Styela clava: one gene and its partners. The protein of the gene in region 4 purifies or fractionates together with the protein of the main gene of each other region. This does not show direct contact. Links are inferred from orthologs where the notes say so. Each region holds a gene or a part of one and is shown on either strand. Other genes may lie near its edges. The genes, in order: iron-sulfur cluster co-chaperone protein HscB-like; succinate--CoA ligase [ADP/GDP-forming] subunit alpha, mitochondrial-like; succinate dehydrogenase [ubiquinone] flavoprotein subunit, mitochondrial-like; succinate--CoA ligase [GDP-forming] subunit beta, mitochondrial-like.

Region 1 (7,387 bases), on a different chromosome or scaffold from region 4:
TTAGTAAAACTACCTGTATTGGATAAAAAATACATTGAATCAGGGCAAAAAGGGACGTATGACATTTGACCCCCAAGCATTATTTTTATAGAGGACTTGCACGGGTCACGTGACTTTGTTTACTGGACGGCAAAAAAACAAAAAGGTCCAGCTGGCTCCTGTCAGTTGCAAGTCGGATTATACTTTTCCGTTTTGTTTAGCTGTTGAAAAGGATTATTTCGTATTGTTCCGTTGGCTGTACGTATAGTATAGACAACGAAATGGATCTTCAGTTATATTCCACTGTTTTCAAAAGATCTGGAACGTCGTGCAATGTGAATATCATCTATTCTATTGGCAGGACTGCTTGGTGTCAAGTCCAAAAGTCATCTCGCTTATGTTTCACTGTTTGCGGACAGCACTTCGTTGATGGTGAGTGATAATGGGCCGTTTGCCTGCTAACTAGGGAAACAATACCTTATGCCAATTCCTTACACAAGCCTCAAGTCTGCAAGTAGGCCTATGCCTACCAATAACAGTAGTTTGTCATCTGCTTTCCATTGAAATGAGGAAGCTTAGGAGTATTTAAAGAAATTGATAACGACACATTACACTCACCATCAACGAAGTGCTGTCCACAAACAGTGAAACACAAGCGAGATGACTTCTGGACTTGACACCAAGCAGTCCTGCCAATAGATGATATTCACATTGCGCGACGTTCCGGATCTTTTGAAAACCGTGGCATATAACTGAAGATACATTTTGTTGTCTATACTCTATAGTCTATACTATACGTACAGCCAACTGAACAATACAAAATACCCATTTTCAACAGCCAAACAAAACGGAAACGTATAATCCGACTTGCAACTGACAGGATCCAGCTGAACGTTTTTGTTTTTTTGCCGTCCGGTAAACAAAGTCACGTGACCCGTGCAAGTCCTCTATACTTTGTCATTAATTTTGCGATTGTTTTTACGTTAAATTATTGGGTGAAAAATACGTTAAATCAAAGCAAAATTGACGTTTGATCCCCAAACATTATTCACACGTCACAAGGTGTCGCTATGTTTTATTCTGACACATAAAAAACGAATCTTTAACTATTCTTAAAAATTTCAAAGCAATTGGTCTAGTAATTAAAAATAAAAGGGACTCTTTAAAAAACGTGTCAAAGAACAAGAACAACAACAACATAATATTGAAGCGATCGTTATGTTCACTGACATGTTCAAAAATACGTCGAATTAGAGCAAAATGAACGTTTAACCGTTGACCCCAAACATTATTTCTATACTTTGTCATTATTTGAGAGTGTTTGTGCGGCTTTAGATACCGTTACTGTTCAGTACCACTACATCCGCGTAAAATTATTGAATAATAACTATGCTGAATCAGAGCTGTAACTGACCAGCGTCGTCAAGGAGTCTGGCGATCTTTTCGCCTATAACTATTATCACGGGATATCATTGAACACGATGCGCCATACCAATACCGCCAAGCAATTATGAAATATGGTTTTTTTTGGGTCGCTGTTTTCAATCAAGCTTGCAAGCTAGTATGTAGTCAATAATTATGGAGCTGCAATTTGTTTGCATCTTTATATTACTGGATTATTGATTTAAAAACCCTTTAAATCGATTTTCATTGGTGAGTAATTGCAAATTTTCGGCGTGCAAAACTGAATTCGCTCGCGTGCATTTATGCGGAGCGCTAGCGCTCTCGGGCGTGCACTTGCTACTGAATCCAGTCTGAGATGCCATGAGATCAATAACTTGTATAATATTGATACATGTAGCTCATAAAGGATGATACAACAAGAGTATTCGTTTTTTAAGTTATACAGTTATAAGGTAAGATTCGATGAGTTTTCTTCATTGTTTACAAGTAGGCCCAAAAACACTACCAGACTACCGTTATGCTAGATAAAAACTGTGCTCACAAACAATTACAGAGTAGGTATATCACTTTCTGTTTACAGATATTCACAATTTGAACACTTGCAGCTGGAGAAGACTTTCATGCTTGAGCTCTTACCACCTAATCACCACAGTTGTTGTACACTGATTGAAATACCAAGCCAATTACTGAAGAATATCTTAAAAAACTTCTGCGGGGTACATACTGGGACAGTAAAGGGGTTTGTTTGATCAGACTACTGTAAGGTATATCAAGTTGACAATTACAGACTTCTGTACTAGCATTTCCCTGCCGTGTTTCTAATAGAATTGTTTGAACAAGAAGTTTGTGATGTCAAAGAAGCTCTTACAAATGTTGTAAATGAATGAACCGTAACCAATCCAGTAAAACCTCTAGGAAATACTGAATTATTAGCTAGCAACCTTTCAATTATCTACTCTTGCCTGGAACCTTGGAGACAGCCAAAATATAATTAGTAACAGAGGAAAAACTACTATTACTGTATTGTGTTCTTGTATTTATGCATATTTTTAACAAATTATATCTCACCCACAGATTGTAAATATTTATGTTGGTATATTTTTTTGAAAAACTGATCTGCTCAATTGACTTGAGCGTGACTATGAGATCGAGGAAAAATTAACTTGTAGTATTATTGTGTATGATCATTTCTACTATTTAGCACAAGTAAATATAGCTTATTAATATATTAAAAAGTATTATCAATCTTCTTTTATATTTTTTGCAATTACTATGTAATGAGTACTACCGTAAATATATACTACTACTACAAGTGGGTGATGGGAATATGCATCCAGGTCAGGTGGACAAAATCTATGCGCAAGACGACATGCAGTTACATTCACAATCATATAGTCATAGCGTCCAGACTCCATTTGAATCTTCAGGTCATTGCTGTGAATGCTTAATATTAGGCGACGTGGAAGTGTACATTTTGAGGAGTAGCATTTTTAATCTGCCTTCCAGTCCCAAATCAACCATGGAAAATGGATGACTTGCAAAATGTCTATCTTCACACCAGGGGTGGCCAAGTTCCCATCATTCAGATACAATTTATCTACAGAACGGTGGTTTGTATTTCAACCAAATGATCCATGTACATGCCGTGGTCCGCCATATGATTGAGCCGTTTTATCGGCTTTTCTCTCCTCGGGATAAATATGTAAATCCTTCCCTCCTTTTAATTATACAGCAACTATGATGACTGTTGTATGAGCTCGAGCATGGAGGGGTTCTGCTGTAATTATCGGTATTCAAATCGTGAACATCTGAAAAAATGTGATATAGCCTACTTTTACAACATAAGTCTTCCATTATCAATGATCACAGCTATAACCAATTTTACCTTATAACTTTTGCAGAAGTAAATAGGATGACTTTCCTTCACTTTGGCATTCTTTTTGAGCTGCTACCATCGGCCTGCTGTATTGTATTCATAAGCAACCATCCCTTCTATTTTCGACACGTTATTTTACTCAAATGACATAATGCCTCAGAATCAACGACTAACATACCGCTCAGAATGGACTTTTCCCCGAGCATCGACTACCTTGTTTACTTCGTGACATTGGCCAATCAGCAAGATGCAAAAAAGTGACGTAACAATGCTCCCTTTTTGCATCCGCTCAGACACTTTTCTCACTCAGACAGATTTTTAAGCGTGGTCGTAAACATTACCTCGTTTTCGCGTTTTTGAACTCTATTTGTTAGTTTTCAGTTGTGTTTAGGAAACGTAAATATAAGTCGGATAATTCAATGATCACTCTGTCTTTCCAGGAGTTTTAATTTAATTGCAGTAATAAAAAATCAGTGTAGAAATAGCTGTGATAGACTAGGCTAAAATTCTCTACGTTACTTTTAAAACACAGATTGTTGTATGCGATGAATCATAATGATGGTTTGAATCACATACCCCATTTTACAAGCGCAAACTCGCAAAAGCACTCTTAGAATAGCCCGAAAATTTTGCAATGGTAAAGTATGGGAAGAATTTTTCGGGGGTCAAAGGTCGGGGAAAGGTCCATACATTTTGTTTTTTCAAATAGTATCTTTTAGTTCCCGCTACGAAACACCGTGACGTCTCAGTAATCATAAGAAACATTGCAAGTCAGACTTAATCGCGTCGGCGTTCAGAGCATAGATTTTTTGCATTGTCTCTGTCCAGAGCAGGAAATCGCAGTCGTCACCTCTTTTTGCATCAAATCGCAACAGGTCAAAGGTTATGTATGGATTTCAAGAATGACACAATAATGGACCTTTCCCCGACCTTTGACCCCCGAAAAATTCTTCCTATACTTTACCATTGCAAAATTTTTCGGGGCTATTTTAAGAGTGCTTTTGCGAGTTGGCGCCTGTGAAATGAGGTATATGTTTCAAACTATCATTATGATTCATGGCATACAACAATCTGTTTTTTAAAAGTACCGTTAAAGAATTTTAGCCTAGTCTATCACAGCTATTTCTACACTAATTTTTATTACTGCAATTAAATTAAAACCACCAGGAAGACGGGGTGACCATTAAATTATTTGATTTACATTTAATTTTACAAAACACAACTGAAAACTAACGAATAGAGTTCAAAAATGCGAAAACGAGATAATGTTTACGACCACGCTTAAAAATCTGTCTGAGTGAGAAAAGTGTCTGAGCGGATGCGAAAAGGAGCATTGTTACATCACTTTTTGCAATTTGCTGATTGGCCAATGTCACGAAGTAAACAAGGAAGTCGATGCTCGGGGAAAGGTCCGTACTGCAATAATATTACGGAGTCCATGATAAATTTCCGCGGTCAAATTTTATCCCGTGACAGTTACGCCTGTAGCTGCAGCAAGGTGTCTAAACACCTGGTTAGTACCGGTAGTTGTCCACTTCACAGCAATGAATCCACGAATTACAAGACTGTTCACCCTTATCGGAATGGTTGGTGGAGTGAATGTTGAAACAATCAATCGAGGATGCAAACTGCTATTTGGTCCTGGGAGAAGCGTGGGTATGAGTACAATTTATTAGACTGCTTTCTGAAAAAGTGTTTCAAATGTGCCTGTTTTTCAGTGAATATCTTGTTTTCGACACGTAACAAAACATTCATCTTGAGAAATGGTAGAAAAAGCTATATTACTCTTCTTGAAAGACAATATTCATTCAGAGGTTCCCATAGATTCTCCACTTCATCTGATGGAAGTTTTGACGAAAACGAAGTAATATGTTGGAAATGCGGGTAAGTGTAACAGTTTCAATTTTTCACTTCGTATTTCAGCATCGAATACTTTTAAATTTTTTCTAGCTGCTGGACTATGTAGGCCTATACTATAAACACTCATATGAATCAATCACAGAAATATATGCACAGAAACCAGTTATTAACCCCTCCTGAACATCTCAGGTCCTGAATGCCACATGCTATATCTGTATATGGTGCTGTATTGAATGTTAGCCTACTGTAAAGGGTAAAACCAAACTTGAAGATAATTCATTGAGCAGCCATTCTGGCGAAGAAACTTTGACATTGACATAATAAGGGTTAATTCAAGTAATTTGTTGGTATAAATAATTTTATTTTGATTTAGGGCCTAATTGAGTCTATTCAAAATTTAATATTGAATTAAATTATTTTGTTTCAGGAGACCAATAACTTCAAGATTTAAATTTATTTGCAATCATTGTAAAATTATTCTCCCACCTACATTTCTTACATTTTTTGAAATATTCAACATGGATGAAAAATTTGATATTTCAACTTTGAAACTTCAGAAAGATTTTAAAGACATGCAAGTAAGCAGCCATAAGTTTTATGTTTACCATTTTCAGAGTTCTGAATCTGCAATGGATATTTTGCCTCCTGTTTTTGGTCTGATATGAACAGATTTCAATTTTTATTATGACGTAGTGGTTGCTAGTGGCTGTATTTGTTGCCTATTATTGTATTATGTTTCATGATTTTTTGTATCGGCATGTTTACTGATGTGTCCATATCTAGATTTTCCACTGGTTTCCGAGATCATGCAAATATAACAAGTATTTTTTATGTCAATTTGCCAAAATGTTTGTGTTTTAGCGTGTTTTTCATCCAGACAAATATTCATTACAAGGTGCGAGGGAGAAAGATCTCTCCGCTCAAATATCTTCACTTTTAAATGTTGCATATAAAACTCTGCTGGACCCGTTATCGAGAGGAGTTTATATGCTTAAACAGAGAGGTAAGGAAAGAGAATATAAAGCAAGAGCATAAATTAAACACTGTTATTGTGACAGTTGAAAGTGTTTTGCAAGTAAGGAGACGTCAACCTAATGTCCACATGCTTATCATTGAAATAAATCTTTTTCTCAGAGCGCATGTGAAAATTCCAAGCCCATTGGCACCCAGGATATATGGCTTCTTCTTTAACTAATTACTTTTATCACAGCTTTATTTAGTAACCTCTGATTATTTGTGTGTCGTTTTCAGATGAGTAATTTATTTCATTTTGGCTCCACCTGATCTTATCGACATTTTTTTAAATTCATTCATAATGCAGAAGAAATGAAAGAAAATGTTTTCTTGCCTGATTCAAATTACGTTATTTTTTTTCATACAACTTCTCATAAATATTACCCACTGCGGCACTCATGAAGTATGCGTACCAAGATGGCGAACATTGGAACATAGTATGTGTACCAGGTTAGGGTTGAGCCATAATTTCAGGTACAAATACTACAGGAGTCACTTGGCTAGTCGCCGCCAGAACACGTAATTGAACTAAAATAAGGAAAATTGGAATAAAAAAACTTCAGAAGCAATTACTGTACTTCACTGCTATATACAAATACACACTGCCTAAGATATATTTTTTTATTAGCAATAGACAATTTCTATACAGTAGCCTATTTTATGGTGCACCTGTGCAATAGTCCTAATTAACCAGTGATACCTGTTACGACATGACAAATTGGTTAATGTTATTAGAGTTATTTTAAATTAATACAGTTTTGGACTTGTGTGAGGAAGTGCATGATTTGATTTGATTTTTTCTTTCGCAGTCATGTAACACCTATTGTGGAGTCAAAATAAGCTCACTAATTTAGCACACCTTTGTTGTACCTTTAAAAAAATGTTGGATGTTTCAAGTGGTTGGACCCACTGATTTATTATAAAACTTGTGAAATTTAACCCATTATTGACTACGATTTGACAGTTTATTGACATGTTTCAGGATATTTTTGATCAAGTTAGTATCCATTCGCATAACTTGTCCAAAACTCACAGTGGCCTATTTTGTATGAACCTCCTGTTTGCGGAGATATCAAATGTTTTGTGATGTGCTGTAGATGAGCCTCTGGATTTATTTCTTGTTTTTTATTCATTTGTTCAGGCATTACTATTGATGAAGAAACTCAACTTAGCAATCCTGAATTTTTGATGGAAATCATGGAACTAAATGAACAGGTGAGAAGATTTTAACACAATGGATTTATCTAATTGCAC
Region 2 (8,175 bases), on a different chromosome or scaffold from region 4:
ATCTAGCCATGCTCCAATCCAGTCCATGGAAAAATTGTTGGGACAGGCGGTAGAAACTCTTATGCTACAAGCTACGGCATCTGCAACTTTCCACTGATTATAGTGTGGACTCAGACATATAGGAATTGATGAAATTCATTGTCAATTCATTGTCTGATTACATTTTGATCCAGAATACATTCAAGGATGAAAAAATGGCTCGTAAGTTGAATACTTTTATAGGCTGATTACATACACTTTACGGCGGTGGTTCCCAAATTTTTTTTCTGCGACCCCAATTTTTGTAAAATCACAGACTACAGACTACACAGACCCCACAACGAGAAAACATTAAAAATCAATTTATTCTAATTAATCATTCTGATGAAAATCGACTGTAAGTTTGTGGGGCGTTGGTGTAACCTGGTTGCACTTAACTGTTTAGTTCAGTGGTTCCCAACCTTTTTTACCCCAGCGGGCAAGCAAAATTAATTTAAAAGAGTTCGCTGATCGGTAACACATGCCATCGTATGAAGACCACGATGTAAAAATCTCTGAGATTCAGAATATTTGTTTAGTTTCAGTACAATGTTAAAATATTGCAGATTACTCCATAATTAATTCGAAAGCTAAACAGAACATGAAAGTAAAATTATAGGTGAAAATACCTTTGCTGGGTCTCATCTTATTGAGTGCCTTTTATTTTTTGTCGTTTTGTTTTTGACTGCATGAAGCGCTTCGAATTTATGTATGAAATACAATATGCCCCATATTTTCGCTTCGTGTTCAAGGAAAATTATTTAAATGTCTAAATACGATCCGATCGCAATATTAAAATTGTTCACTTTTATAAGAATGGGATGTGGACAAAACACATATGTGTATATTTTAGAGTAGATACTCACGATAATTAACATAGAGCTTTTGCAACGGATGGAAACCTTTTCATTAGATGTATTCTTATAATTGTGCTTATTTACTCATTCCAGATAAGATATTTGTCAAGTCTCGGAGGTTGCTCCAAGAAAGACTGGATTGGAGAATCATGAGCTCAGTTATAACAAATTTACTCTCCCGCTCTTTTAACTGTGCAGGACGCGGTGGATAAGAAGGAGTGAGTGGGACGCCATTAGTTTCTGCTATTGAAGGTATGTAATATGTTTATCATATTGTACCACCATATTTCTCTGCTCTACCCTCTTCTATTTTATAAGTATAAGATTATTTTGACTCCAAATCAGCTTAAGATAATTCATAAGGGAAATGAACAAAAATTGATTAAATAGAATCTGACAATCTGGAGTGAAAACAAAACCTTAATTAAGATAGAAGCGTAAAGAATATAAGGTTTTGCCAAAAAGATGTCTATCGTGTTCATGAATTAAATTAAGTTACACACACACAACAACAACAGAGATATAATAAAATAAAAACAGGCGAGAAAATTTAGATAAGTTGGGTAGATGATTGTCAAATTAAATAATGATTTTGTAAACAACTGTGAACAGTAAAGAAATTGAATGTAGATTTTGTATACAAAAGTGAACAGTATAGAAAAATATTTATTAAGGAGATATCGCCAAGCTGATTATGGTTAGAGTCAAGTGCCAAATTGCCAATCCAATGTTGCCAGAGTTTAGTGCATAATGGCGAACAGTGGTTTTCGAACTTATTTGTATCATCGCTCCCTTACAGTACTTTTTACATTATCATCCCCCCCTAGCACAACAGCAAATGATGAAGTTACAAATAAATTTATTATAAATCAATTAAACAAATAGACTAATCATGGTGCATGATGTTTCTAATACGATAGATGAATTTCAACAAGGAATATTTGAAGACATTTTAGTCAGATAAAATCTCAAATCATCATTATGCGGAATCAAGAACTTCTGTATTTCTCGATTATTATTGTCTTGTCAATGTAAGCTTCACTCACACATTTGCGACTGCAGAAACTTGGCTTAAGATTCCTACTCTGAAAATTTGTTGGGATGCAGTCATTCAGACTAGGCTTTGAACTCTGGTGCTGTAATTTGCTAATACTGCAATTTAACACAGAATTTTTATATTTTCCAGCTCTGGATGATCTGGCAACGAACTCCGATTAATTTTATTACATGTATACATATTTGTAAAATAAAGACATTTTGTTATCTTTTGTTTTTTATTATATAAATAATGTTGGATTAGTGGGAAATTTCTATGTAGTATAGATCCATTCACTGTCTGTACAACACATCGCCTAACTTGGCCCGACCATATGCCACGATTGTATTACAACGTGTCACCTACGTAGGCCCGGCCATATGTCACGATTGTGTTACAACGTATCGCCTACGTTGGCCCGACCGTTTGCCACGGTTGCATTACAGCGAAAGGACCGACGTTGGCCCAGCGGCCAAATCTTCGCTGGAACATGGTTGTTCGCCATTATCGGGCCGGTGGTTCGAACAACGTTCGGCCATGGTTGTTCCGACGTAGTTGTGCTATCTGGGTACTCTTTAAATAAGTCATCAACTTTTTCTCGATTTCCTCTATTGAAAACTTTTCTAATAAAACGGTTGCATACACTTCGAATTTTTTTGATAATGGACGTTTGGCGATGAACATAAGCTGAAGCGCAATATCGAATATGGCTTTCTATTAGTGAGTGGTATAGGGATATTAAACAGGATGTATTTAAATTGTTGGCTATTTTCGTAATAGCACCTAGACCTTGTTTTAGATAGAATCAGGTTTGTGTGCTGTTTCCAACACAATTTGTCATCAATTATTACACGCAAAAAGCGCGTCTGGTTAACTCTTTCTATATTTATTCCATTCAATTCCAGATTTTGTTGCGGTGTTAGACACTTTTGCTTTGGCGCGCTAAATACCATATATTTAGGTTTTTCCAAATTAATAGTGAGTTTGTTCGCAGACAACCAAGCTTGAATATTTTCCAAGTCAGTATTTGCTTTGGTCAAAAGTTCAGGCAAGTCTTTGCCTCGAAGATATGGCGTTGAGTCATCAGCAAAAAGTATGATATCAGAGTGATGAAGAGAATTTGGAAAGTCGTTAATAATGATTGAAAAACATAATGGAGCCAAAATAGAACCTTGTAAGGTGCCTACAGTCAAATTACAGTATGGGCTAGATGCTACGTCATTGTATATTACTACTTGTTTCCTTCCTGATAAGTAGCTTTCAAACCAATTATAACTCTAACCTCTAACACCATTATGGTGCAATTTGGCTAGTAATATGTCATGGTCAATACTATTAAATGCCTTGGAAAGGTACAAGAACATACTAAGAGTATACTCGTTCTTTTCAAATCCTTCTAAAATTTTACTGACAAGTAGAGATGTTGCATGGCATGTTGAGTGATTTTGGCGAAAGCCAAATTGCTGGGATTAAAAGAAATTTTTTTGGTCTAGGAAATGATTGAGTCTCTTGTACATAATTTTTTCTAGAATTTTGGAAAATGCAGAAAGTAAGCTGATCGGTCGGTAGTTTTTTACATCCTTTGCATTTCCTTTTTTGAACAATGGAATAACTTTAGATAATTTGAACTGGTCTATGTATTTACCAGATTGTATGGAGCAATTAAAGATATGCGTGAGAGCACAAATACAATACCAGGGCATCATTCGTATAACTTTAAAGGGAATTCCATCTATTCCGCAACTGGTTTTGGGTCGAAAAGGTTTCAGAATATTTTGGACTTCGAAAGCTGTTGTCGGGGCAAGGAACATGGAGGTTTTACTGGGATGTCCCATATATTGCTTAAAGTCGTTCTTTCTAGTATAAGTAAACCGTTCGATCATTTTATTTCCAATTGTAGAAAAGTGCGAGTTAAAATGATCTGCTATTTTGACAGGATCGGAGGTTTCCTGGCCATTAATAGAAAATACTCTACGTGTAGTCGCAGACTTATGGCTGGGTCGCAATCGTAGTAGTCTGGCAGGTGACCCAGGCTAGCAGCGCTCCAACATACTGTATAATGAAACCATAGTTAACTCAGTAAACTATTAAAATCATATTTTTGCACCTAATTCTGTTATATGTTCGCAAGTGGCTCTACTCCCGTGGTGTGCGTGTGACCTTGCAGAATAATCTGAAATGGCCGTTTTGCCAGTTTATGAAGCACTTGTGTTTCAGCCGACTGTTACCGTACTGTGGCAGACTTGTAAGTGTAAGATGTGATGTTAAATGTACATTGTACGGTATAAAATACATTGAGGAAAGGCGACTGAGGATTTACTGGAGTGGTTGCTTGACACTAGATTCTGAGATTAAAATACACTTGCAGATTTGACATAACGCAAAGATGCAGTTGCAGTTTTAGGTGAGTGAACACGTACCACTTCTTTTTGGCAATACCTTCTATCTTGTACGTTTTAAACCTTGTCCAAGGTTTTGTTCACTCTCCTGATTTCATAATCAGTTTTTATTACCGCACCGTACCGTACAACGGCTGACGGCTAACTCGCCGTGAAACACTGAAACAGCAGAATGGTACCGGTACCGTACCGGTATAGAATCTGTAAACCATGCAAACTATTGCAGTATTGGAAGAATTTTGTGCAATAGACTGATAGAAGGTTGTACAGTTCAAGGGTTTTTACTGAGTCTGTGAGCTAAGTCAAGTTTATTTTTTCCAACCAGTAAAAAAAATCATACACAGATAGTGAGAAAATAATATTTGCAATTTTAGTGGGCTACTGGGGACGCGGACGGGAAGCCGCAGTTGAAACATGGATAGTATTGTGGAAGACCATAGCTATTTAGGCCTTAATGCTTTCAGGCTTCGGCATATTTAGATACAGAATTAGATACCGGTAAGGTACCGTACCTTGCCGCCTTCAGTACTGCAGTACGATATTTGTCAAACTTTTTTCAGTTATCATTAGGTTAGGTACGTGGCTTACATACCATGGCATCCACAATGTCGCATCAGCTCGTGGCTTTATCAAGACGACTTTTATCTCGTACCTTGCCGCCTTCAGTACGATATTTGTCAAACTTTTTTCAGTTATCATTAGGTTAGGTACGTGGCTTACATACCATGGCATCCACAATGTCGCATCAGCTCGTGGCTTTATCAAGACGACTTTTACCACAAACAAGATTCGTACTTCCGAAGAGATCTGAAAGCTCTATTGTTTATGATGCTACAAGAAAGAACATGGCTATCCAGAGGAGTACAAGAGTTATCTGTCAAGGTTTTACTGGTAAGTTTCATTATCTGTTTTAACAACTAATGAAATTGATTATTTGGATTGATTGAGTGACCCATTGTACACAAGCACATTCCAATTTGTATTTTTCAGATTGATTTTAAGGTAAATTGAGTTTACAGCCCAAGATTGTTTATTATGGTATTTTAGTTTTTTTTCATATATATTCAAACCATAAAAGGCATTTTATAGAAGAAAACTTAAAAAGTGGGGCTAATGATCCAAAATAAAGAATTAGGTGCAGTCCGAATCCAATACTCGAAAGGTCCGGATCCGGACCGCGGTCCGCCAGTTGAGTATCCCTGGCATAGGTTACACAATATGTAAATATTATTTGCTGTATCTCATTTTGTCTGCTGTGCAAGTACTACAATGTTTTATTAATTTCACCTCATATTCACATAATTTTTGTTCGTAGAAATATGGAATAGTATCAATCTCTTAAATTTTTTAAACCAGTAATATGACTTGTCGTTTTAGGCAAACAAGGAACCTTCCACAGCCAACAAGCGATTGCATATGGGACCAAGATGGTTGGTGGCGTGTCACCAAGCAAGGCAGGAACAACTCATCTTGGCCTTCCAGTGTTTGCATCAGTGAAGGATGCTGTGAAAGAGACAGGGGCTGAGGCATCTGTGATCTATGTGCCGCCCCCTTTTGCTGCCGAAGCCATAATAGAAGCTATTGATGCGCAAGTGCCATTAGTTGTTTGTATCACTGAAGGTATTCCTCAACAGGACATGGTTCGTGTGAAGCACAAGTTGGTACGTCTTCATTTGGCGATTACAAAAATTTATGCTCATACTATTATCTATACGATCGGATATTTCATTGTACAATAATTTGCTAAATAACCGGGTATAAGGTTAGTATTGCATCTGGCATGGCTGTAAATTATCAGCTAAGTATAGAGTTCTACCTGGTTTTGTTTTAAGTTACCATCATATTTGATGCAAATTTATCTCACCACTATTTCTCAGCTAACCAGGGCTACAACGCAAGCATTCAATGTTGTGTACTTATGCATATGCACTCATGCTAAACCGTAGACTATTGCCACTTCAATGCCCGCAAAATTAAGTAGAAATCAATTGGATTCATTAATTACTGGTATCGGGCAAGTTTGCTATGGTACATTTTTCGGCGCTCCAGAAGTATGTGTACCAATATGAAGGTAACTAATTTTGTTCGCCTATCTTACTTCAAGTTGTGCAAAGGGGCTGAAACCTATGGGCAGGGGGATATTCACTTGGTTAACACAGACAGTCCCCGAACTCGTAATAGAACTAAAATAAGAAAAATGGGAAAAAAATTATTGCCTAACCTTAAGCTGGTACACACACTACACTTTCTACAGGAGTACCCATTTTTTAACATCGAACAATAAATTAAATGCTTGTAAATCGGACACTCTGTAAATAATGAGGCGCTCAAAGCTTCACAAAATCCCTCAGAAATTGATTCGTTTTATTTCAGACATTTTTATTTCTTTCAGGTGAGACAAAGTAAAACAAGACTCATAGGTCCAAATTGTCCAGGAATTATCAGGCCTGGTGATTGCAAAATAGGAATCATGCCTGGACACATACATAAACCAGGAAAGATTGGTATCGTATCAAGGTCGGGCACATTAACTTACGAGGCAGTGCACCAAACTACACTGGTTGGCTTGGGACAAACATTATGTGTTGGTGAGTTACTAATTAAATAGCAAATGTTGGGTTGCATCTTATTTAGGCACACAATTTTTGTATTATTCAATTTTCATAATTTTATATTTCCCTAGGAATTGGTGGAGATCCTTTTAATGGTACTAATTTTGTTGATTGCCTGGAAGTGTTCTTAAATGATCCTTTGACTGAGGGCATTCTTTTGATTGGAGAAATTGGTGGCGGTGCTGAAGAAAGAGCTGCACAATATCTTATTGAAAATAATATGGTTAGTTATCATTATTAGCATATGTTTGTGATGGCGCCTGCTTTTTATTTTATTTTCAATATTTTCTCTGGGATTTCCTGAGATCCGATATTGTACCCGAAACTTTTCCGTTTTATTTTAAATCATGAAAACTCTGTCGATCATGAAATTCACACCTGCCTTCCATTTTGATTTTGCAAATTCTGTGCTCAACTGAATTTTAGTGTGAATCACATAGGCTCATGGTACCACGGTTCGTTATTGGACCTCCGTGTCCATATATATCCGAGCATTGTTATCTTGTATTAGATATATTATGCCAGACTTTTATTTCTTGGTTCACAGGGAAGAAATAGTAAGCCTGTTGTTTCCTTCATCGCTGGGGTAACTGCTCCACCAGGAAGAAGAATGGGACATGCTGGTGCCATCATATCAGGTGGTAAAGGGGGAGCAGAAGGAAAAATTGCTGCTCTCAGGGATGCTGGAGTAAACGTAACTATGTCGCCTGCGCAAATGGGGACTGCCATGATTGAAGAATACACCAAATTTTATGGAAGAAAATCTTCTTCATAAACCATACATGCTTAACGTTCAACCAGGTCATGTGTTTAATAAATTGTTTATAACCTCGTTTATCCCAAGGTTGAGCCTGTCTTGGTGGTGAGTTTGTGACAAATTAAATATATTTCTTTCTGTGTAATTTATTCCAAAAGTGATTATTAAGCCCTCAAGGATTTTCGAATATAGTTTCTCTCAACTTGGTTATCGTGGCTGTTTACCTTTTTATGGACAAAGTTGTAGTGGGAACACTTGAGTAAAAAATAGCAGATTTACCTGGTAGCCCACATCAGCGGAGGTCTCAAAAGGATCGCAAAAGTTTGGTCCATTAAGATGAACACCGGTAAGCTTGAGAAAATGTTAAATTGTGATGTGGATACCGAAGGTACTGAAATTCCTGTATTTCGCTTGCCGTACTCTATTGAGTAGAGGGTGCTCCAGAAGTATGTGTACCGATATGAAGGTAACTAATTTTGTTCGCCTATTTTACAAG
Region 3 (7,341 bases), on a different chromosome or scaffold from region 4:
ACCTTTTTTGTATCGCGGAACACTTTTTTTATTCTAAAATTGTGACGGAACACCAAATGAGATTTTTGGAAATAAACTATATTATGCAATTAACTGACATCGATCATTTCGGAATAAAATAAATTAACGAAATTAATAATAGCTTGTCAACTTCAGCTGGAAAAGACGTTACACATATTCCGATTCAGAGCTAGGAACAGAAATGGTATTTTAATGTAATATTTGGGCCTGTTTCGATAAGTTTCAATATTTTATTCTGGCTGGAATTAAATTGAGAGAGACAAACACGCAGCTCTTTCTCGGTGACTCTCAATTTTTCGTGTTTTTTATACTCCTATGGCGGCCAAGAAAAGGGTGGGCAAAATCGAATATTTTTTTCGAATCAAATAATTCGAATATTTTTAACAAATACCGAATAGTCCAATACCGAATATTTTTTATACGCAGCATGTCCAGAACGTCGCCGCCATGGATCGCCGTTGTATTTTGTAAATACGAAAATAGGTATCAAAAATTAATAATAATCGCGCAGTAAACCACACATCTATGTACATAGATTGCCGTGGTATTGTGCCCGAATATAATTAATTTTTGATCCCGTATTTCATTCTTTGAACTTAATATCTGTTTTTATAAATTTTGCAAGCAGTTCACGCACGAAGGCTTTGAATAATGATGTATTAGTCAAATCGAAGTCCTGTTAGACCACTGGTTCTCAACCAATGGGCCATGGGCCACTGGTAAGCCTCAGAGGCATTTTGAGGGGGGCCACAAACATATTATAAATTACAAGGTTTGTTGATTGGAAAAATTGATTTGATAACAAAATCAGCTTCACGCGTCTTGAAAAACAAGACATCTATTTCAAAACATGCCTCGCCGTAACCACCCATTGTGGCGCAACATACCCATTATACGGCAGGAAATGCTAGATATGAATATATATATATATATATATATATATATATATAGTAATTTGTTTGCACATTACATCAAAATTAAAAAAAATATAACGAGAATGTCATTGCCTTCAATATTCGCCAGGCTTGAACTGAGCATAACATATAAAAAATTAACAAAAAACGAATCCACGAGGACATTGTCACATAAATACGAACAAAACAAACATTAAATTACCCAATTCCTAATATATTAAATTTTCAAGTATTCCTCATCCTCACTATCCGTCGGAAGAAATTTCATCCACTTCTTCCTTTTACTGTTCAGCTTTTTAGTGACTTCAAACACCTCATTATTCGTCGGAAGAAATTTCATCCACTTCTTCCTTTTACTGTTCATCTTTTTAGTGACTTCAAACACCGTATTATTCGTCGGAAGAAACTTCATTCACTTCTTCCTTTTAGTATACAGTTTTTAGTGACTTCAACCACCTCATTATTCGTCGGAAATTTTTTTATCCACTTCTCCCTTTTAGTGTTCAGCTTTCTAGTGACTTCAACCACCTCATTATTCGTCGCAAGAAATTTCATCTATTTTTTCCTTTTAGTGTTCAGCTTTTCAGTGATTTCAACCGCCTCATTATTCGTCGGAAGAAATTTCATCCCCTTCTTCCTTTTAGTGTTCATCTTTTCAGTGACTTCGACCACCTCATTATTCGTCGGAATAAATTTCATCCACTTCTTCCTTTTAGTGTTCAGCTTTTTAGTGACTTCGACCACCTCATTATTCGTCGGAAAAAATTTCATCCACTTCTTAAGAAATTTCATCCACTTCTTCCTTTTTGTGTTCAGCTTTTTAGTGGCTTCAACCACCTCATTATTCGTCGGAAAAAATTTCATCCACTTCTTCCTTTTAGTGTTCAGCTTTTTAGAGACTTCAACTACCTCATTATTCGTCGGAAAAAATTTCATCCACTTCTTAAGAAATTTCATCCACTTCTTCCTTTTTGTGTTCAGCTTTTTAGTGGCTTCAACCACCTCATTATTCGTCGGAAAAAATTTCATCCACTTCTTCCTTTTAGTGTTCAGCTTTTTAGTGACTTCAACCACCTCATTATTTGTCGGAAGAAATTTCATCCACTTCTTCCTTTTAGTGTTCAGCTTTTTAGTGACTTCAACCACCTCATTATTCGTCGGAAAAAATTTCCTCCATCTCTTCTTTTCAGTGTTCAGCTTTTCAGTGACTTCAGCCACCTAACTACCCGTCGGAAGAAATTTCATCCACTTCTTACTTTTAGTGTTCAGCTTTTTAGTGTTTTTCAATTTTCACCTTTGGGAACACTTCAACTTCCGTTTTCCCTCCACCTCATCCGTTTCTTCCTTCAGCCTTTTAGTGTTGTCCATCTGTCCTCTGGTGTCCCATCAGCCTAAGCTGTGGTTTGCAGCAGTACAGTTGTGGTTGTTTTAGTTGGATATTTAGTGTTTTAGGTTTATCTTGTGTCTGGTTAATTAATGTTAGTTCTTGAGAAGGGTACCGGTACCAAGAGTGTTTATTTTTGATTTTATGGTGTATGACGGGTTTGGATATTCTAATATTGGTCAATAGGATGTTTTTATTGTTTGAGTGGGGTCTCGTGTAGTTTCGTACCTAACGTACTTCTAGAGGGCGTAGCATAACAATTTTTTCACCTATCAATCCTAACATCCTACCTATCCTTCACCTATCAATCCTACCTGACTACCCCATCCAAAAATTACGTCGCTACGACGTCACAGTGACATAATAAAGCCCTTCAAACTATACAAACTGTCACCCAAGACGCGCAGACGAGAACCTGAAATCGAACAGCTATATTTCTCGTCGCAACGATCCCGATAGGATCGCTGACGTTAGTTAGTTCTTTATCGTCGGCGCCGATGTCATTTCGGGCGATCGTACGTGTATTTGGCAAGTTCTATAACGTGATCGTGACGTAATTTTTGGATGATGTAGTCAGGTGGGGGTTAGGATTGACATGTCAAAAAATTGTTATGCTACGCCCACTAGAAGTACGTTAGGTACAAAACTACACGAGACCCAAATTACGTCACCATCACGTCATACTGTCATGGGGGTTGCTTAAGTATAATACGATCGTCCGAAATGGCATCTGCGCCGCCGATAACGAACTCCCTAACGCCGGCGATCCCTCTCCTATGGCGATCGTTGTGACGAGAAAACGAGAGAAATAGCTTGGGTGATCTTCTGGGCGTTTTGGACGACCATCCGTATACTTTGGTGGGCCTTATTACACCACTGTGACGTTTAAATGACGTATTTTTCTGGCGACATAATCAGATGGGGGTTAGGATTGACATATGCTTGAGTCAGGCTAACTAGAAGTAGGGTAGTGTAGCCAGTCTGCAGACGATTTCATTCAAACCGCTATAAAACAAAAACCAATATTTATAACCTGTTAATTTTTTCACCATAGGTGCATGGGTATTTCTTCTACACTCTAAACCTCGAATTAACTTTCTACGACCAGGTGTTAAAGCTATACAAACCACCATAGTACGACACTCTGAAGGCCTATTTGCGATCGAACGACCAGTGTGCGACCACGGATTTCAAGCCTTGAACATCATTTCTGCTGCGTCGAGACTAGGGCATACGCAGCCATGCGTCAAAAAAATTAGCTTCTAATTGCATATCTGACTGTCATATATTTTAAGAACAAGGTTATTTCGAACAAAACTCGTCAAATTTTAAACAAAGCACCGCATTACAGCAATCAAACAAACAAAAACACGGTGGTCGCAAATTGGTCGACAATCTGACAATGCTATTATCGACGTATTGGAAATGCGCACCCCCCTATTCCCCCTCCTTTAAATGTAGAAACGCGAAACTTCAAAGATGGTTAAAAGAAACAGAACTCTACCCACCTGCCAAGTTTCATCTTTTTATCTCTTATATTTGTATGGATTTTCAAGCTTTTTCAAATGGACAGTAGGTAGTTGGCGACATGGAAAAATGATCCGTTCACCATATTATCTCAGCAATCTGTTTTAGACAGGGGAAATCGGGACAGGGTTAACAGGAAGGATGAGGCAAGGGGGACTTTGAAGTTGGACATCGATGCTCGAGAGACAGACAACTCACGTAACTGCGTACGGTAATGTACTTGCTTATCGACTGGCGTTAGTGCCGACTGACATCAGGTGTAGGTCAACTCATCACGACAAGGTTTCAATCTTTGGGTTCGACTTTGTTTTTTGCTGATGATGTCTTTTATAGGCTATCTCTGATGAGTTGTCCGTGCAGTCGATTCGTCCGCCTCCCTCAATACGGGTAAACATGAAAGAGTAGAGATTAAATGTCAAAGTCTCAGGCCTTCTTTTAATCTGCTCTTCACAGATCATATTTTGTATAGACTAACATTTATCAGTTCCGCCAAAATTATGGCATCGTCACTGTTAAGAATAACATCAAAGACTGCTGTGGGTTTAACAAGATCGACAGTAAGTATTGAAAATGTTCAATTCCATTCAAATATGAAGTTTTTAAATTGTACTGCCACTAATTTTAATATTCAGATATCTAGAATTTCAAATGATTTGATAGCTTTTAATATTACAAATTGAGAAATGCAGAATTTATTATGACAATTAGGCATCACACTATTAATTTTTCAGTATATTTTTACCACTAACAGTCAGCTTGTTTATTTTTATGATATATTTATACGCCCTATCACTCCGATAATGGCTCTGGACAATCAACGAGTCTGGTATAGTTTAGTACCACACGCATTTCTAGTTGGCCTGGCTCAACAATTTTTGCATATGTCATTCCTAACCCCCACCTGACTACGTCACCAAAAAATTACACTACTACGACATCATAGTGGCGTAATAAAGACCTCCAAAATGCATGGATGGTTGTGTGATTGTGATGTCGTAGTGACATATCTTTTGGATGGCATAGTCAGGTGGGGGTCGGGAATAACAAATGCGAAATTTGTTATGCTACGCTCACCGGAAGTACTTGTGGTACTATACTATACCCCAAGCAACGTCTGCTAGGTAAAGCTACTATATTTCACAATTGGTCTTTCCAGTTTGACAACGCCTACTAATTCATCACACTCTGGGTGACTTTGTGGGAATGGGATTCAAACCTGAGATTTTTAACTTGTGATGTCAATTTAATGTCCAGCCCTTTGAACACTAGGTCATCATGCCTACTACGGAAAATTTTATAATTGAATAAACTTATATGTATAAAGTATAAGTTAAATATGTATATAAGATGATTTATTCACCCAAAATGTTTAATTTTTCAAGGGTCTGAATGTACTACCATGCATTACGACTGGATTAGATAATCAGTTCCACACTTCAAGCAAGACAAATACACTTGTTAAACGAGATCAGATGTCGAATGAGTATCCAGTCATAGACCACACATACGATGCTGTTGTTGTTGGAGCGGGGGGCGCTGGTCTTCGAGCTGCTTTTGGACTTTCAGAAGCTGGCTTCAAAACAGCTTGCGTCACGAAACTATTCCCAACGCGATCTCACACAGTGGCTGCTCAGGTTTGAGTCCTTTTTTCCATTTTTTTGGTTTCTACCAGGTTCGACATGTTTTTCGCGTAATCGGAATTGCAGACTCTCTATGTTGCTAAAGTATTTCAAAACTAACCACTGGAACTCAAAAAGCACTAATATTATTAAGCGTTCTTATTAACAGTGTAGAGAACCTGTACATTCTGAACTTCTGTTATCAAGATGTGATATTTCATGTAGTTCGGAGGTTCGTGTCCCTTAGTTCTTACCCTGGTTCCAGTGTATTTGTTTTACTAGTGATTGTATCATATCAATAACGAATCTTGTTATTCTTTCTGACAGGGTGGCATAAATGCAGCTCTTGGTAACATGGAAGAAGATAATTGGAAATGGCACATGTGAGACTTATTCATTCTTCATCTTTTATTTTTAACCATTTTGAGATACATGTAGGGATAAATTATTGAGATTTTTGATGGGGAAAGCTCTTATTAGGTCTGAAACCAGGAATCCAAGTTTGCCATGGAGTTGGACCTGATGTTATATTTAAAAACTGCCCATGTTCTGGAGTCAAAGTCAAAAATTTTGTCCCCAGACTTGGAATTTCATACTTTCAACTGTGATAATAGTGTAAATTTTGTGATAGTAGTAGTTCTAGTCAAATCTTTGTCAGTCTGGAGTTGATTTCAAGTTTTCTGACTCTGTTCTGACTTTTTGATATTGAAGTTGGAAGTCAAGTGGCTACTAGCTCTCATTAGGAATTATGTTTCAACAAGATTCTGAAAGTAACATTGGTTTCTTACTTTTTATAAACGATTTATCGAACAGCTCTAATTTCCTGACAAAATTGTTTGCCGATGATGCCTGCCTTCTCGATAGTGCGAAGGATTTGATCACACTCCAAGCCAAAGTGAACACTGGAATTAATAAAGTATATGAGTGGATGATATGCAATAAACTCACTGTAAATGTGGAAAAATCCAAAGTCATGTTATTCAGCCCTAAAAGCCGGACTAGAAATTCAAGTCTTTCAATTAAAATTAATGGTATTCCACTAGAAATCGTCCAGTCTTATAGATATCTTGGGCTTCATATTGACCATCAACTCAAATGGAACAGCCACATCACTGAAATGTACAAGAAACTCTCCAGATCAGTAGGGATTCTGGGAAAACTCAAGTATTATGTGCCGAGCCCAACTCTGCGGACTATTTACTTTGCTCTTTTTCAATCACATATCCAATACGCCTTAGCTGCATGGGGCTCCGCTACTCAAACTAGCTTGCGTAAATTAGAGATTTTACAAAATAGGGCTGTTAAAATTCTCTCCGGAGCACCAGTTCGTTCAAACATAAACACCCTATATCATAAAGCCAGGGTGCTAAAATTGTCTGACATCTATAAATTAGAAATTTCTAAGATTATGCACCAGTTCCACAACAACCAATTGCCTGCAGCTTTCGCTGATTATTTCACTGTTCTCAGTAATGTGCATGAGCATAACACACGCTCTTCGACAAAATCGAATTTTTTTGTTCCCAGATTTTCGCTAAGCAAGTCCCTAAACTCCTTGAAGTATAAGGGTGTTGTAATTTGGAATAGTATTCCCCAAATCTTACGTGACTCTTCTTATGAAACTTTCAAAACAAAATATAAAAAATTCTTGCTGTCACCTTACCAGTCTGCTGTGATTGCATCCAAATGATGTGGCCTCAGCACTCGCTTGCTCTGCTAGGCCTATACCTGTAATAATAATACTTTTTTTCAATTTTTTCATGTCCTCATCTTATTGCATTCTTGCCAGTGATTTGAATTATGTAAAGTGTGCCATGCTAATTGCATGACCTGTATTTGTTCGTAACCTGCACAATATAGTAAACTACTTTTCTTA
Region 4 (7,602 bases):
CGTGGTGTTTCGTTTTACGGGAATCTTTAAACGACTTTTTACGCTGTTTCACGTAATGACGATGAAATAGAATCGGCACTTTGTTTATATTCTTTGCGACAGTACGTCGCATAGTGTTGTGAAACATTTGCACGTGGACATTGCCGACATTCGTGTACGAGGCTTTTAATTTACAAATTCATTTCCATTACGTCGAAAAATTGAGAAAGTATGTTTATTTTATTTCTATGTGGCCTAATTATTATTCGCATGAGTCTTCTCAAGCATGATTTGTGTAACCTTATATTTGGGTCCTAGGGTCTGCCAATCATGATATTTATTCGCAGGCCGGTTATAGTTACTTTAAAGAGAAACACGGCCACCGCGATAAAGTGATTTGTGACCCTTTCGTTTTGCTGATTCAGAAAAACAGGACAGGGACAGGAAAACACAGCTGTGAAATAACCTGTGGACGTACAGTGTAGTACTTATCATCACATTCCAAAATTATTTCAACATTCGGGTTAATAGGTTGTCCAAAATGATTGTCGCTTTACAACTTAAATTTACCGCTCAATTGTTAAAAATAGTTAATTCTGTGAGTATGATTCTACCAAACTAACATGATCTGGTTCTGAACATATAAAATTATTATCGAATTTTTCGACCCGTCTTATTGGAGGCCTATATGGAAAAAAACCTTCTTTGAGTGCTAAAAATAGACATCGTCCTATTTGCCATGTGCACTTATTAGCCGGGAAATACGGTATTTATAGCCGTCATTGTTACGATATCCAATAAATTGTCACAAGTTGGAAAAACAAGTCGATTTATTAGAAAATAATTTCTGGCAAATAATTCTGATAACGATAGTTAAAAGTATTCATCCTTTACCAGGATGATTTTTTGTTGCGCAAAATAATCCAATCCATGACTGGTACCAGCATTTAAAATGTCATGCCGTATTAATTTAATTCTGTTCAACGTAACTCATGGTTGTATCGACAATCTGTGGACATAAAATGTGTAGTAAACTGACCGATATTATTAAATATTGATTCCTATTTTTATATTGATAAAATAATGAAAGTATTAATGCCAAATACAACGGGTATTTGTGGACATGGAATAGGTGGTAAACTACCCAATTATAATTAATTTCAGATTCGTGTTTTCAAAATAATAAAACTAATAATTTTAAAATGCAACGGCGATCTGTGGCCTTCAAATATGTGGTAAACTGCCCGATTTACCAACATTTGAGTTATGATAATAGAATTAAATTAACACGGTAAGGCATTTTAAGTAGTGGTATCGGTCATGGATTCGAATATTTTGCGCAGCACAAAATCATCCTAGTAAAAAGTCCATACTTTTAAATACAAACCAATGGGAACCATTATCCAAATTAGTTCCCAAGAGCGGAATAAAATATAAACTTGTGACAATTTTTCGTGAGTACTAAAATAAGAATTAAAACTAATTATATTCGGCACAATATCACGACAATCTGTGGACATAAATTGTGTGGCAAACTCGCGATTAATATTAATTTTTGATTCCTATTTTCGTATTTACAAAATACAACGGCGATCTGTGGACTTACAATGTGTGGTAAACTACCCGATTATAAATAGTTTTTGATTCCTATTTTCATATTTATAAAATATTAAAAGTATTATTACTCAAACATACAACGGCGATCTGCGGACTTAAAATGTGTGGTAAAGTTCCCGAATATAATTAATTTTTGATTCGTATTTTTGTACTCACGAAAAAATTGTCACAAGCCGGAAAAATACCTCATACTTTATCCCGCTTTTCGACAAATAATTTGGTTATGGTTGGTATTTAAAAGTATGGGCATTTTAAGAGGATGATTTTGTGTTGCGCAAATATTCAAATCCATCATCGATACCACTATTGTCGTATTAATTTATTTCTGTTAACATGACTCATGGTATATAAAATATATACTGCAATAATCTGCAAATATGATATGCCTGGTAATATAGCTAGGTTGTAACTTGTAGATAGCAGTTATTCCATTGCTTATTGTATGGAAATTCCTACATACATTTAGATAAGCTTCAATTGGTGGATTTTATTTTCGAAGTATTCGAAATTTCATATTCGAAAAAAATAATTTCGAATGTATTCGAAATAGTGAACTATTCGGTATTGGCCATCCCTGCGAGTACACTATCGAAAATAATAACTTGCATTTTTAATTGTAACATTACAATACTACACTATACATGTATATTTACTAAGTTTTTTTAACAGTAAAATATTTGTTATGTTAAGATTAATAATTGTATAAGTTGATTAGAAAAGAAATTTGTATATTTGCTTTGATAAATTTAACCAATTCTGAGATAAAACAATGTTCAATTTGGCCCACGCTACATTCCATACAGTTCAATTTGATTGCTCCACAGAGTATATAAAATAAATCTTTGGAAAAAAGAATGTTACACCTATGTAAATGAAGCCAAGATAAATTACTGGCTGTAATTCAATGGCAAACATGTAATATAGCTATCTTTTTGTATAATTCAGTTTATTCGGTGGGTTAGTTAGAACTAGTAAATTAGAATCTGAATGCTTCATTATTAATTATAATTATGACAACTCAACAAAATTTGGCACAGCACCAAGAACACTCTTCTAAATTAGCCAAAATCAGCTTAAACTTTCAAACTAAAAATTTAAGGACTTACTTAAAATATTATGAAATAATAATGGTTATATTAAATTTACACAAATATGCTGAGCATGATCTAAGGAAGAGTAATACAGGCTTTCTGGTCCAAAAAGTGGGTGTGTCTGATTCCGGACATTCGATTCGAGCACCAGGGTGAAATAAATTGGGTAGGAAATGTTAGACCAGAAAGTTTTCAATCTTTCAAATAATTGTAGCTCACTTCATATCATTTATTCTACAAGGCATTGTTCGTAGCCAGATGCATGGATAAGCGTCGTAAAAAAGTATCTCACCTGGGAATTCACTCGAGTAAAAACTTGTCCGCATCTGGTGGCTCGTTTCAGAGCATGTCTGAGAGAAGACATTGTAAAAATAACTACTCAGTATAAACTATTTACACGGTAATTATTGGATGAGATCTAAAGCAAGAAATGTAAAATGCAATAAAAGTCTCAATATTTGGAACAACAAACATGTATGTGATGATCTACTTTATTAATTCATTGATCTTTAATAATTAATATGTCGGACGAAATCGAAAAAGCCCACTTGTTAGTCCAGCAAGGTCTAAGGTCAAGAACGCCATAGACATGTACAAACAATTTATATATTTGTTATTCAGTTAGAAAACGTTTATATTCATCTTCATTCAACAGATCCTTCAATTCATCATTATCCAAGACCTCCATTTTCAAAATCCACCCTTCTCCCCTTGCAGATTCGTTAATCAATTGTGGTTCATCCTCCAGCTTCTTATTTACTTCAACAACTTTGCCGGATACCGGAGAATATAGATCACTAGCCGCCTTGACGCTCTCAATTACAGCCATCTCATCGCCTTTGGAAAATTCAGTTTCGATAGCAGGAAGCTCACAATAAACCAGATCACCAAGTTGATCTTGAGCATGTTCTGTGATACCAATGGTTCCTATACCATCTTTCACATCTATCCATTCATGTTCTTTGGTGAAATATGTCGTAAGACTTCTGGATGAAATGTGTAAAGAGCGTTTGACAAATCCTACTGAAGTGGATGTCAATGGCTGATTGAATTTCCTCTGCAATATGTTTTTACTCACAATCAGAACTCGCTTTGATAAACCAATTCTAACCAATCTTTCCATAATTTCAAAGCAAGCATAAAAATCTGTGCCAGGGGGCACCGGCTAATGGACTAAAATTAATTACACTTTTGCTATAAAATGTTTGAAAATAGTCTCTTTTATTAATAATTATGCAATGAAAAGTATATAGCATACCCTCACATTATCAAAAACAAGACATTTCTGGATGGGATTTCTATATTATCAAAGAGAAGAGGAAAGCTAATAAGACAGCTCAATCATATAGCAAACCATGGCCTCTCATCCAATTACCAGTCCATCCATGTATGGAAATAGCAATAGGTACCCAATTATTAATTACCTATGAATGAACTTAATGGTGGTTATTCTTAAGCACAATATACATCATACACTTGTTCATATTAAACATCACTTAAAATAATCTGCAGTGGTTATCTGTTTATATTAAAACAGACTAAGGTCGTTACCGAAAACGCCAACAACATATTTGGACAAAAAAAAACGAGCATGTAAATTGTAACATATGTAAAATTTGGGAATAATGTTAAATTATTTTAAAGAATCAAACAAGTGCTATGAACAAAATATTGGAAATAAATTTACTTTCACATTTGAAACAAAAAATATAAGAAAAAATCAACAAAATTTGGTGTGAGACTACAAGACTCAGGTCAATGCAATTGTCTTCTAGGAAACAACTTTGGCTATTTCGAATTTGTAACAGATTGGTATAATAATGGGAAAAATCTGGTATTTATCATGACAAACAACATTTTATGAAAACAATACATGGATTTACTTTGAGTCCTAAAACTGATGCAAGACGGAACAATATTTGACACATTAATACAACAAATAATAAGGTATTCAGTTTTGAATTCATGTCTTTTAATACTGTTCATAACATCTGGAATTACACAATTCATGATGACATTCATCCAATAAGTGAGATTTGATTTAAAGCGTTTGGGATTTGAGACACAGAATGCAAAAAAATATAACACAGCATCTCTTTCAAAACAAACAAGGGCAGAACATAGTGATTTACTCTTTCAAACATTTTATGAAAATTTATTGCCTATTAAATAAATAACAAGCTCGCCAGCCTGTTGAATGTAGACAGGTACATAGGCCTACAAATGTGCAAAAATTAGTATTACCCTAGGCACGGAGGATCAGGTCAAACAAAGCATGTTTAAAATCGCAGAAGTGTGAAGATCTAACAAGAAAGAACAGTCGAAGTTATCGAAATTACTGTCATTCAACTTTTATAATACCTGGTGGAATATTTTCCTTTTAATAAAATTTTCAATTTTTATCGTTTTGACAAACACAATTTGTAAATACATTTAAATGCATACCTGAGAAGAATATCAATAGTTATAAAACAACATTTCCAGAAAAAGTATTAGCTATTTTTAATAAATTACAGCCTTGATTTCTTTGATTCCCATTTAAAAATTCAAATGAAAGTTCTCTAAATGTACAACAAACCCGGCGATTTTTTATATCTTCCCTTAAAATACCATGTTTCCATGAGTGTCGAGCAGGTCCGTGTAATACAACAAGAGACCTTGCACGAAGTGGTATCTTAACTTTTATATCAGTTGGATCGATCATACCAATACAAGGGAGATTTTTCCAGTTGATAGAACTTCCCCCCCAAGTCATTGTCAACCATGAGTCAGATAGCAAATTCAAAGTTACAAGTCTTTCACCCCATAACCAGCTATCATCAAAATGAGGGTCAATTGCCGAACCTCTTTCAGGAGAGTATTCAAGATTACAGAGTTCAACTGTCTTAAAGTCATTCAAGCCATTGATTGAAGATAATCTATCCACAGCAAACTTACAATAAGAGGGCAGTCCAGAAAACGAAGCAATTTTACATTTCTGTTTTTTAAAATTAACTTTTGGACCAAAGTCTTGTTTTCTTCTACCGGATTGCGACAGTTTCCATATTTCACCATCTATGGCATTCACCAATGCAATTTCCTCGGAATGAGATATGAAGTCATTAATGACAATCACACCAGGAAATTCGAAAAAATGTGGAAGTTCGTTAATTTCATTTTGGGTGATTGTCGTCAGTTCTGCACTTTTGGTGGCATGATTATAATAATAATGTTTACATTCTCTCTGATTTTGTGAAAGAGTTTCAGATTTATGAATCATTTCACATTTGAGGCAAGTTCTTATGCCTACACAAGCACATTCTTCGTTTTTGTTTTCTTCCATTTTCGAATTTCTGTAATTGGCATGATATCTCCTGAGCTCAGTATACAACATCCATTTGATGTACTTCTACACTAATACAATTTATTTCGACAATCTGAATACACAACACTCAATGAAACAAACAAATCATATAACAGGAATGCCTATAAAGCCAAGAAAAAATGAGTGGCACTTTTCACCGTGATCGAGTGAAAGAATGAATGTTCAAAAAGAACAGAACAATTTCAAAGAGTCTCTATAAGTGATAATCCTATACTATACTATTAGGTACTACTACATGAGGACTGTAGGGGTAATAACTGCTACAATCTCAAGCTACTGACCCAGCGATAAAAAAGAAATACAGCAATGTAATAATGAGAAACGTAGATCTTAACCCTCTGTCTCTATTATTTTTAAATTTACTCTATTATTATTATTTTATGTACCGATCCCCACGACTGAAAATTCAGAAAAATATTTGTACGATTGCCGTAAATAATGCAGTTAAAAATTCCGCTTATACTTTTCGCGTTTCTGACCTTGCGTGAAACGTGTCGCACGACTTGCAGAGGCCAGCGCACAGGCAAGATGACCGTTCTTGACAGCGAAACAGCGTTTATTAGCATAGCAACTTAGATAAGATTTCATTTCGATATATTCGCAAAAAACAAAAACATATACCGGTATACACGAAAGATTAAGACGAAGAATTTGGAAAGTGAACAAAACCTAATAAAATAAGTTTAAAACGTATTAAACGCGTTCACTCACCGAAGAAGGAAGAAAACAAGTCACAAACACAAACAAATAAACATGAATATTCACGGCCGTCATTACTCAGGCGTTTCACTTTGTAATCAGGTTGTGTGCAATTTTTTCAAAAACAAAACTAAATGCCCGCTGTGCGTGTTATGCGGCATGTAAACAAACAATCCGAAAAATCCTAGAATGAAGTACGAATGCATGTTTCCGTTCCATGCTCAAAAATTACTTTACTGAGTAATCGCGTATATCGTTGAAACATATTAAATATATACTGTATTGTTTCATTCCGGCTGGACAGGGACAATATCGCAACATTTATGAATTTGATCTACTCGAAACCAACAACTTTGACCGTGTGGTAAACAATACGCACTTCTCTGTACCTGGGCGTCTTTTCTTCCATCGATAAAACCGGCGGTGAACGCATAAAACTTGATAAATATGGTAATATTTTCCCATTTACAGATTTATCCAGAGGAGAGCCATATTGCGAACCCCCTTTTCCTCATCCGGTAAAACAAAATTCGCCGTTCGACTATTAGAAAAAATTGTTTATTTTACCTGCCTAACCTAGTACATTTTTGTGAATTAATCTTATTTATCTGCGTTATTTTATCAACCAATGCATCTTTGCTCTATTCATGTCAATATTTCGTTGCCGGTCCATCAGTAGACTACATTTTTTTAATGTTACCTGTTCGCGGTGTAGAAAGGTTTTTAAACATAATACTAATACGCGGCAAGTTGAGTTGGCTCAATGAGAGTTATGAGAGAAACATCGCGGAATGTTAAGAAAAAACTTAAGAAATGTTCACGCAATCTCGCAATGCATTCCAGCAATCACCA

What was found.
Region 1: the proteins of succinate--CoA ligase [GDP-forming] subunit beta, mitochondrial-like (region 4) and iron-sulfur cluster co-chaperone protein HscB-like purify together in Homo sapiens (affinity purification with mass spectrometry; 3 studies listed by BioGRID and IntAct, with this or other methods). This does not show direct contact. The link is inferred for Styela clava from reciprocal best matches to the Homo sapiens genes SUCLG2 and HSCB.
Region 2: the proteins of succinate--CoA ligase [GDP-forming] subunit beta, mitochondrial-like (region 4) and succinate--CoA ligase [ADP/GDP-forming] subunit alpha, mitochondrial-like fractionate together in Homo sapiens (co-fractionation; 6 studies listed by BioGRID and IntAct, counting the BioPlex papers as one, with this or other methods). This does not show direct contact. The link is inferred for Styela clava from reciprocal best matches to the Homo sapiens genes SUCLG2 and SUCLG1.
Region 3: the proteins of succinate--CoA ligase [GDP-forming] subunit beta, mitochondrial-like (region 4) and succinate dehydrogenase [ubiquinone] flavoprotein subunit, mitochondrial-like fractionate together in Homo sapiens (co-fractionation; 3 studies listed by BioGRID, with this or other methods). This does not show direct contact. The link is inferred for Styela clava from reciprocal best matches to the Homo sapiens genes SUCLG2 and SDHA.

The regions. Positions count from the first base shown.
Region 1 is NC_135253.1:534,424-541,810, forward strand, and holds the start of iron-sulfur cluster co-chaperone protein HscB-like, read left to right. Parts: upstream 1-4,268; 5' UTR 4,269-4,803; coding exon 4,804-4,915; intron 4,916-4,977; coding exon 4,978-5,143; intron 5,144-5,546; coding exon 5,547-5,697; intron 5,698-5,980; coding exon 5,981-6,122; intron 6,123-7,274; coding exon 7,275-7,348; intron 7,349-7,387.
Region 2 is NC_135257.1:15,448,989-15,457,163, forward strand, and holds succinate--CoA ligase [ADP/GDP-forming] subunit alpha, mitochondrial-like, read left to right. Parts: upstream 1-5,003; 5' UTR 5,004-5,035; coding exon 5,036-5,201; intron 5,202-5,687; coding exon 5,688-5,971; intron 5,972-6,702; coding exon 6,703-6,898; intron 6,899-6,993; coding exon 6,994-7,145; intron 7,146-7,469; coding exon 7,470-7,697; 3' UTR 7,698-7,886; downstream 7,887-8,175. UniProt on the Homo sapiens protein: Succinyl-CoA synthetase functions in the citric acid cycle (TCA), coupling the hydrolysis of succinyl-CoA to the synthesis of either ATP or GTP and thus represents the only step of substrate-level phosphorylation in the TCA.
Region 3 is NC_135261.1:7,416,252-7,423,592, forward strand, and holds the start of succinate dehydrogenase [ubiquinone] flavoprotein subunit, mitochondrial-like, read left to right. Parts: upstream 1-4,241; 5' UTR 4,242-4,343; coding exon 4,344-4,403; intron 4,404-5,228; coding exon 5,229-5,480; intron 5,481-5,792; coding exon 5,793-5,848; intron 5,849-7,341. UniProt on the Homo sapiens protein: Flavoprotein (FP) subunit of succinate dehydrogenase (SDH) that is involved in complex II of the mitochondrial electron transport chain and is responsible for transferring electrons from succinate to ubiquinone (coenzyme Q).
Region 4 is NC_135251.1:16,268,870-16,276,471, reverse strand, and holds the start of succinate--CoA ligase [GDP-forming] subunit beta, mitochondrial-like, read right to left. Parts: upstream 3,116-7,602; 5' UTR 3,052-3,115; coding exon 2,980-3,051; intron 1-2,979. Other genes in the region: glycine cleavage system H protein-like, read right to left, coding at 3,301-3,810; alpha-ketoglutarate-dependent dioxygenase alkB homolog 4-like, read right to left, coding at 5,152-6,060; NHL repeat-containing protein 2-like, read left to right, coding at 7,542-7,602. UniProt on the Homo sapiens protein: GTP-specific succinyl-CoA synthetase functions in the citric acid cycle (TCA), coupling the hydrolysis of succinyl-CoA to the synthesis of GTP and thus represents the only step of substrate-level phosphorylation in the TCA.